Linked DNA regions of Saccharomyces cerevisiae S288C. The gene in region 1 interacts genetically with each later gene. Each region holds a gene or a part of one and is shown in the gene's direction. Other genes may lie near its edges.

What was found.
Region 2: mutations in NFI1 (region 1) and SLX5 impair growth when combined (synthetic growth defect), as found in Saccharomyces cerevisiae (5 studies listed by BioGRID, with this or other methods).

Annotation. Positions count from the first base shown.
Region 1 is NC_001147.6:626,900-632,129, reverse strand, and holds NFI1 (SUMO ligase NFI1), read left to right. Parts: upstream 1-1,589; coding exon 1,590-3,770; downstream 3,771-5,230. Other genes in the region: PUP1 (proteasome core particle subunit beta 2), read left to right, coding at 379-1,164; ISN1 (IMP 5'-nucleotidase), read left to right, coding at 4,150-5,230. UniProt on the Saccharomyces cerevisiae protein: May act as an E3 ligase mediating SUMO/Smt3 attachment to septins. May be involved in chromosome maintenance.
Region 2 is NC_001136.10:427,509-431,906, forward strand, and holds SLX5 (SUMO-targeted ubiquitin ligase complex subunit SLX5), read left to right. Parts: upstream 1-1,558; coding exon 1,559-3,418; downstream 3,419-4,398. Other genes in the region: rRNA methyltransferase NOP1, read left to right, coding at 1-839; YDL012C (uncharacterized protein), read right to left, coding at 3,600-3,878, 3,965-4,009. UniProt on the Saccharomyces cerevisiae protein: Component of the SUMO-targeted ubiquitin ligase (STUbL) complex SLX5/SLX8 that mediates ubiquitination and subsequent desumoylation of sumoylated proteins and proteins containing SUMO-like domains for their degradation.

The DNA of each region.
Region 1 (5,230 bases):
ATCAGCAATGAAACTATTACCTAAATAATCCATATGTAGATTCTCTTCTTTATTCTACTCCTCTTGGGAATCACTTTCCTACTCGGCGACTTCAGGGTTCTACTTGCACTTCCGTTGCTAGTGATTTTTCATTAGGGCCAATATTTTTACCCTCATTACAAACCCTTTATTGTAAAAGCGGGTAAATTAGGGCCATGTTTCGTATTTTATAACCCGGCCGAGTGGCAAAATACCAAAAAGAAAGATGAAAAGGATAAACTAATAATTCAGCAGAAGGGTGATCAGTTGAGGTGGAGAGTTTGTATAGTAAAGCGTTAAATTTTTTCAGGAATACTCCCCCCACATAAACCTGATTGTAGAAAATAGAATTGAGTGAGCATGGCAGGTTTATCGTTCGACAATTATCAAAGAAATAATTTCTTAGCGGAAAACTCGCACACACAACCTAAGGCAACTTCCACGGGTACCACCATTGTAGGCGTAAAATTCAATAACGGAGTGGTGATTGCAGCAGATACAAGATCAACACAAGGTCCAATTGTCGCAGATAAGAATTGCGCAAAATTGCATAGAATTTCCCCCAAAATATGGTGTGCTGGTGCCGGTACCGCCGCCGATACTGAGGCAGTTACGCAGTTGATCGGGTCTAACATTGAATTACATTCCTTATATACCTCGAGAGAACCAAGAGTGGTCTCAGCTTTACAAATGCTAAAGCAGCACCTATTTAAGTACCAAGGTCATATTGGTGCTTATTTGATTGTTGCAGGTGTAGACCCTACGGGATCTCATTTGTTCTCCATTCATGCGCATGGTTCTACTGACGTGGGCTACTACCTTTCTCTAGGATCTGGTTCTCTAGCGGCAATGGCTGTGTTGGAATCACACTGGAAGCAAGACCTTACGAAGGAGGAAGCCATAAAGTTGGCCTCTGATGCAATCCAGGCTGGTATCTGGAATGATTTGGGGTCTGGTTCTAATGTGGATGTGTGTGTCATGGAAATAGGTAAAGATGCAGAATACTTGAGGAATTACTTGACTCCAAATGTTAGAGAAGAAAAGCAGAAAAGCTACAAATTCCCCAGGGGTACAACTGCTGTGCTGAAGGAGAGTATTGTCAATATTTGTGACATACAAGAAGAACAAGTCGATATAACGGCTTGAAAGTAAAACATAGAACTTAAGTATATTTTAGTATAGTAAATCATTGTTCAACAAAATGTGATAAAGGAAGTCAAAAACTAACCGCAAAACTATTTACATAATATATTTTCTTATAGCAGAGCTTATTATTTGTTCTTGATTCTTTTTCTTTTTTCTTTTTTTTATGCTTTGAAGTGTGTTAGTTGATTTTTGTTCGTTAATTTTCGTGTTAATTTATCCATCCATTTTAGCTATTTTATCACACAGAGCATAATATAACAAACACAGCTCAGTACCACACATATAACATAACACTAAAATTAACATTTCTATAGTCATCCGTTTGTTGGTCTTTAAAGGGCTATTACTGAGGCAAATATCAAGGAACTAAGAATACCACAAACGATACACTGATAATCAAGAAACGTATAAGGGAAAAGAGCACGATGGCAAGTGTCATGTCAAATAATAATAATAATAATAATAATAATAATGCCAGTTATATGTTTACGAACCCTTTGTCCAACACAGGTGGTGGACTCATAAATGAAATAAAAGATGCAATAAATGAAATGGAACAATTAAAGGTTCTAGAGTTAAAGCAAATATGCAAATCTCTGGATTTATCCATAACGGGCAAAAAGGCTGTCTTACAAGACCGAATAAAACAATTCTTAAGAAAATCCTGTGATATTGGACATATAGATCCGTGGAGGCCTAAGGCTATTAAGATTCTTATCGCGAAAGTAAGGATAAACTCATCATTACCAAAATACTCTACCCTTTGGGAAACTTTAAAGACGGGTGCGTTCAAGCATCCTGTAGCATCGGGGCAACTACCCGTGACAGCTCTCCAGAGTACTGCATTGCCACCTTATTCCCAACAACAGGCCTTAGCATATTCTTTTACCTCACCGTTTTACAAACCAATAGTACAAATACCGGATGCCAATAAAAAATTGAAGCAATCTGCAGGAAGAGGTTGTACAAAAATGAAGTTCAAGGTAAGTAAATCTAATCATGATCTTTTGAAATCTAACAAGAGTTATAAACTGTATTTGTTTTCTGGCTTTTCAATACCGTTTATATATGAAACTGTGGGCCATGAGGCAATAGATTTCCCGTATCCCTGTGAACTAGTGTTTAATGGCACCAAACTAGAGGACAACGTGAAAGGTTTAAAGAAACAAAATGGGACAGGTAATCCTGCAAATTTAACGCCTTATCTTAAAGTACCGACCGAGATGAATCACCTAGACTTACATTATCTCAATATTGATAAAGAGTACTCTATAAGTTGCTTTATAGTGGAAGTTTTTTCACCTGAAGCTCTTCTGGGGAAAATTCTGAAAAGGCCCAAAATTATCAAGCAAGCCACCACAGCATACATCAAAAGAACCTTGAATGAGCAAGATGATGACGATATTATTACAACCTCCACGGTGCTGAGTTTGCAATGTCCTATATCTTGTACAAGGATGAAGTATCCGGCGAAGACTGACCAATGTAAGCATATCCAATGTTTTGATGCTCTCTGGTTTCTTCACTCTCAGTCACAAGTCCCTACATGGCAGTGTCCGATTTGTCAACACCCTATAAAATTCGACCAGTTGAAGATTTCCGAATTTGTAGATAATATTATTCAAAATTGCAATGAAGATGTTGAGCAAGTTGAGATATCTGTTGATGGCTCATGGAAACCGATTCATAATAGTTCGGCCGTTATAACGGATACTGTTAACCAAAATCACAGTGTGAAAAACGAGAACCAAGGCACTGTCAAACAAGAGCAAGATTATGACAGCCGAAATGCCTTCGATACTAATTTGCGTAATGGTTCAAACCACAACGAACCCGAAATAATATCTCTGGATAGCTCAGATGATGAAGCCTTTATTCCGGCTAGTAAAAGCTTCCCAACGCACGTGAACCCCCGTAATGACCAATTAAGAGCAGATATATTTCCCTCAGAATCGGAAGGATCCAGTGACTACAACCCCAATCATACATCAACGCCGAAAGGTTCTCCAACTATGGACCAAGATAATTATCAAGATGCTTTTCAAATGAGGTCATTTTTGAACCAAGGCGCTACTACAAATATAAATGACACACCGACGAACAATAGCAGTATTAATTCTTTCGTTACGGCGACGAATGGTGACAGCAGAATATTCTACAATAGAGGGCCATCAACGCCACTATTACCGGCTGTTCTACAAAATTTGACTAATCAAACGGAAGCGCAGAGAAACCCCTACGGACCTAATTACAATACCACAGCTCAAGATCGTAATCTTTTGGGAATCGAAGGTGATTTGCCTCCAATCCCCCCTGTGGACCCAAATTCAGAAGCAGAAACTGAACTACCAACAAGGACCACATCGGCGGCACATCTCCCTCCATATATACACGTGAGCACCAGCGGCCATGGGGATGATGGAAAAATTAGGAAGAGAAGGCATTCTAATGTTTCTATCTACATTCCGAAGAATCCATACGCCACCCTTATGAAACGGAGACCACAGGCAAATCACGCCATAATGAATAAAACTCTGGCCCAAACTAATGACTTTAACACATCGGCTCAAGATAACTCGGAAGTGGTCGATTTAACATCAGATTGATTAACCGTCTTTTGATTTCTTTCCTTTCCGATTGTATTCTATTTTTATTTCTATTGTTTCATTTCGCTCTTAATATTGACTTCCACTTTTGGGCGTAAATGATGTTTTTGTTTTGATAAATATTACGACTTTTGTTATGTTTTTTTACTACTGTGGTTACTTCATGGGTGTAGTGTGCGAATCTGCAGTGATAGGTTTCTATAGATTTCTCTGTATACTTCCTGTATTACACTATAATATTTCATGTCCTTTCACTTCCCACGTTTAGCGGGACAGGCCGCCCTTAAATTAACAAAATTTAAAAGGTAAAGGAATGTACTAAGAAAAGAAAACTATTCAAAGAAAGTAACAAAAGATCGTGAGTTAACTTATAATAGCAATGTCCTCAAGATATAGAGTGGAATATCATTTGAAGAGCCACCGCAAGGATGAGTTTATAGATTGGGTAAAGGGGCTACTGGCCTCACCTTTTGTTCTACATGCCGTCTCTCATGAAGGTGACTACAATGACGACTTAGCAACAACTCAACGTGTAAGGTCGCAGTATGCTGATATCTTTAAAGACATTGAAGGGCTGATTAAAGATAAAATAGAATTTGACTCAAGAAACATGAGCCAAGACGAAATTGAAGATGGCGCCTCTTCTCAATCTCTGAATATATTAGGACAATCGCGTTTAAATCTTTTGGTTCCATCAATTGGAACATTCTTTACGGAACTTCCATTGGAACAAGCTTTTCTATGGGAAGACTCACAACGGGCCATTTCGGCGCGTAGAATGGTAGCACCCAGTTTTAATGATATCAGGCATATCCTGAATACTGCACAGATATTTCACTTTAAGAAACAGGAGAACTTACATAATGGTAAGGTTTTGAGATTAGTGACTTTTGATGGAGATGTGACGCTGTATGAAGATGGTGGCTCCCTGGTTTACACTAATCCTGTAATTCCTTATATTCTCAAGCTGTTGCGGTGCGGTATCAATGTGGGAATAGTCACTGCGGCCGGATATGATGAAGCTGGAACCTATGAGAACAGATTGAAAGGATTAATTGTTGCATTACATGATTCAACTGATATACCAGTTTCTCAAAAGCAGAATTTAACAATAATGGGTGGTGAGTCGAGTTACCTTTTCCGTTACTATGAAGACCCGGAGGAAGATAACTTTGGCTTTAGACAAATTGACAAAGAGGAATGGCTATTGCCTAGAATGAAGGCTTGGTCCCTCGAGGACGTGGAAAAGACTTTGGACTTTGCCGAGAGAACTCTTAACAGGTTAAGAAAAAGACTAAACCTACCTTCAGAGATTTCTATTATCCGTAAAGTCAGGGCAGTGGGTATCGTCCCAGGCGAACGGTACGATGAAGCTTCTAAAAGACAAGTTCCTGTTAAGCTTGATAGGGAACAACTGGAGGAAATAGTTTTAACCCTTCAAAACACTTTAGAGTCTTTTG
Region 2 (4,398 bases), on another chromosome or scaffold:
GTGGTTCCAGAGGCGGCTTCGGTGGTAGAGGCGGTTCTCGTGGTGGTGCCCGTGGTGGCTCCAGAGGTGGTAGAGGTGGCGCTGCTGGTGGTGCCCGTGGTGGTGCCAAGGTCGTTATTGAACCACATAGACATGCCGGTGTTTACATTGCTAGAGGTAAAGAAGATTTGCTAGTTACCAAGAACATGGCCCCAGGTGAATCAGTTTATGGTGAAAAGAGAATCTCCGTTGAAGAACCATCTAAGGAAGATGGTGTCCCACCAACCAAGGTCGAATACCGTGTATGGAACCCATTCAGATCTAAGTTGGCTGCCGGTATTATGGGTGGTCTAGATGAATTATTTATTGCCCCAGGCAAGAAAGTTTTATATTTAGGTGCTGCTTCCGGTACTTCTGTTTCTCACGTTTCAGATGTTGTTGGTCCAGAAGGTGTTGTCTACGCCGTAGAATTTTCTCACAGACCAGGCAGAGAATTGATTTCTATGGCAAAGAAGAGACCTAATATCATCCCAATCATTGAAGATGCTAGACACCCACAAAAATACAGAATGTTGATTGGTATGGTTGACTGTGTCTTCGCAGATGTTGCCCAGCCTGATCAAGCTCGTATTATTGCATTGAACTCTCATATGTTCTTGAAGGACCAAGGTGGTGTTGTTATCTCCATTAAGGCTAACTGTATTGATTCTACTGTAGACGCGGAAACCGTTTTTGCTAGAGAAGTTCAAAAGTTACGTGAGGAACGTATTAAGCCATTAGAACAATTGACTTTAGAGCCATATGAAAGAGACCATTGTATCGTCGTTGGTAGATACATGAGAAGCGGTTTGAAGAAATAAGTTGAATAAAGGAAATTAGTCAAAAGTTTCTGGTAGCTTGCTCAATTATTAGCAGAATAATTGTTTCGTTTATATATATTTCCCCCATTCAGTTTCACTTCCTATTTGAAGTTTTTGTAACCCTCGACTTTGTAAAATAGATATTACTAAATTCTTTTAGAGAACAAAAGTATTGTACGTATTCGCCATATAAAAAAAAAAGAGTATATGTGGTGACTTTTTGGTCATTAATTGTTAAGAGCAAGCAAGTAGAAATCATAATCATATTTCGAGTTTTTTAAAGGTAGGAACAATATCGATAAGCTGTTCTCCAGTCTCGACACTGTTTGATGACCATATATCATTAATTCTTGTAACACTACATCATAGATTTCTCTTTATCCTTGGATTGAATCTGAAAAAATTTTGATAGAGTCTTTTGTTCAAAGTGTCACTTCTTCATCTGTCACTCTTACGTATTTTTTTTTTTTTGGCTTTGCCCATAAGAAACATCACTGTATACGCAAGGTCGCAATATTTACTATTTAACATGGATGAGAGGCAGTGTGCGACCAAAACGAAGACTTAATCATTAAGAAGAGCGTGTGTTGCGTTGATTGGTAATAACCAAGTCGAAATTTGCACTAGGAGCTTCAGTCTAGGAGTGAACTTTTGAAAAGATTTCAGTCCAAAAATTATTATTTGGAACGCGGAGCTCCTCTAATAGTCGAAATAATAGAATGCATAGCGATACTAACGGTCGAACAAAGAGCAATAATAGCCCATCAGACAATAATCCAAATGAGACAGTTATATTAATAGATAGTGATAAGGAAGAAGACGCTTCTATTCGCGAGGCTAACCTTCCTGTGAGGTTGTACCCAGACAGACGGGTAGGGAGACGACGTGATGCTTTAAATAGGTTTGTGAGGTCAGATTCAAGGAGCAGGAATTCTCAACGGACTCACATAACAGCAAGCTCTGAGCGCCCTGATTTTCAAGCTAATAACGACGATATCACTATAATACGAGAAGTTGGACGGTTTTTTGGAGACGATGGACCTATTGATCCTTCTGCACATTACGTCGATCTTGATCAGGAGCCAGGTTCTGAAACGTTAGAAACTCCAAGAACAATACAAGTAGATAACACAAACGGGTACTTGAATGATAATGGTAATAACAATGAAAGTGATGATGGCCTGACAATAGTTGAAGAGAGAACAACACGACCCAGAGTGACACTGAACCTGCCAGGCGGGGAGAGGCTTGAGGTAACTGCGACGACAACAGACATACCGATAAGAAGGTCATTTGAATTCCAAGAAGATCTAGGCGCATCACGCAGGCAGTTACTGAGAAGGAGTGCTACAAGAGCCCGTAATTTATTTGTGGACCGGTCTGATGAAAACGATGAAGATTGGACAGATGATACCCATAATTTACCAGAAGCTATTCAAAGGGCTCGTAGGGAGAGCCGTATGCGAATGAGCAGACGGATTGCAGAAAGACAACGTAGGGTACAACAGCAAAGGGTGTCCAGTGACGAAAATATAAGTACATCTATTAGGTTACAATCAATCAGGGAACGAATACAATCATATACGCCTGATATTCGTAGTGCTTTTCATCGTGCAGAGTCACTGCATGAATTCAGGTCTATTTTACAAAATGTTGCTCCAATTACTTTGCAAGAATGTGAAGAAGAACTAATGGCACTCTTCACTGAGTTCAGAAATCAACTGCTGCAGAATTGGGCCATTGATAGGGTCAGAAATACTCAGGAAGAGGCCTTGAGACTTCACCGAGAAGCATTGGAAAGACAAGAAAGAACGGCAGGAAGAGTTTTCCATCGTGGCACATTACGTGAATCAATCACAAACTATCTTAATTTCAATGGAGAGGATGGGTTCTTAAGTCGTTTGTGGAGTGGCCCAGCATTGAGCGATGCTGACGAGGAACGACACACTCAAAATATCATTGATATGATCCAAGAGAGAGAAGAACGAGAGCGGGATGTGGTCATGAAGAATCTAATGAACAAAACCAGAGCCCAACAGGAAGAATTCGAAGCTAGGGCAGCCAGCCTACCCGAAGGTTATAGCGCGTCATTTGATACTACGCCAAAAATGAAATTAGACATTACGAAAAATGGTAAAGAAGAAACCATCATTGTGACAGATGACGATTTAGCAAAAACACTCGAGGATATTCCTGTTTGTTGCTTGTGTGGCGCAGAATTGGGGGTCGGAATACCGGATGATTTTACTGGAATCAGTCAAAAGGATCGTGGTGTTTCATTTGAAGGGTTAGTGTCAAAATACAAATTCCACTGCCCCTACCAAACCCTAGCCAGACCATCAATGCTTGATAGAGATTTATCAAAACGAACGTTTATTGCATCGTGTGGTCATGCATTTTGTGGTAGGTGTTTCGCCAGGATTGACAATGCAAAAAAAAAATCTAAGATGCCCAAAAAGAAACTAGCTCAACTAAAGGGTTCGGCTCATCCGGATAATTATGGCCCCAAATTATGTCCCGCAGATTCTTGTAAGAAGCTTATTCGTTCAAGAGGCAGGTTGAAGGAGGTTTACTTCTAGCACGCGGTTTAATTTTTATAAGGGCATTTTCGAACTTATCATCATTATATATTATCTACTTGCATGAACACTTTAATCACGCTTATTTAATTAAGATTAAAAGATCAGAGGTGCAATTGTGCTTTGTTTTATATAGTGGATTTGTGTGAAAGGGTTTGCTCCCACAAGATATGGAGATACTCTAAAACAGCATATCCAAAGTACAGCATAAACATAAACCCGCTAGACAGCCCGCTAGACAGTCTTCATTTCCAGAACTGGCCGGTTGTTGTTGGACATAAATGGGCTGCTGTGGGTGTTGTTGGTAATATTGGGGCTGCTGTTGCTGATAGTATTGAGGTTGTTGCTGATACTGCTGCTGCTGCTGTTGAGGTGGATAATAGTTCTGTTGGCTTTGCGATGGAGCGTAACCTCTAGACGCCGTTTCATATCCTGGTGGTGGAGCGCTAGGACGAGAATACTGAATCGAAAGTGATGTAATGAAAATACAAGGGCTCGTTAGTACGATGTGATCTTCTAAAGGCAAAACTTGTAAAATTAACGTACGCTTTGTTTGGAGGCAGAGTTTCCGTAATAATCTTGAGCTGACATGAGATGTGTATTTGCTTGGTTTATGGGCTATTGTATGGGTTTGTCTTAATATCCTTTTCGGTTGCGTAAATACTTTTTATATTTCAATATTTCACGATGCCGCTGATAGCATCGTTTAATACGAAAACTTCGAGCCATTTACCAAGAAATATTCTGGACTAGGTGGAAGGAAGCTTCGAGAACTCACCGTGGCTATTCAAGGCTGATGGACATATGTACTGGGCTGAGCTTAAGATCTCCCATTACTGCTCCGTGGGGTTTTATGTGAAATGTGGCGTTTCAGCAGTTTTTAGTTGGCTAATTTCCTAAAAGTAGTAATTAGTTTCTTATGATGGATTTAATGGCGTAGTTCATCCGCGTTTAATTTAACTAGAGGATAATCTACTTGC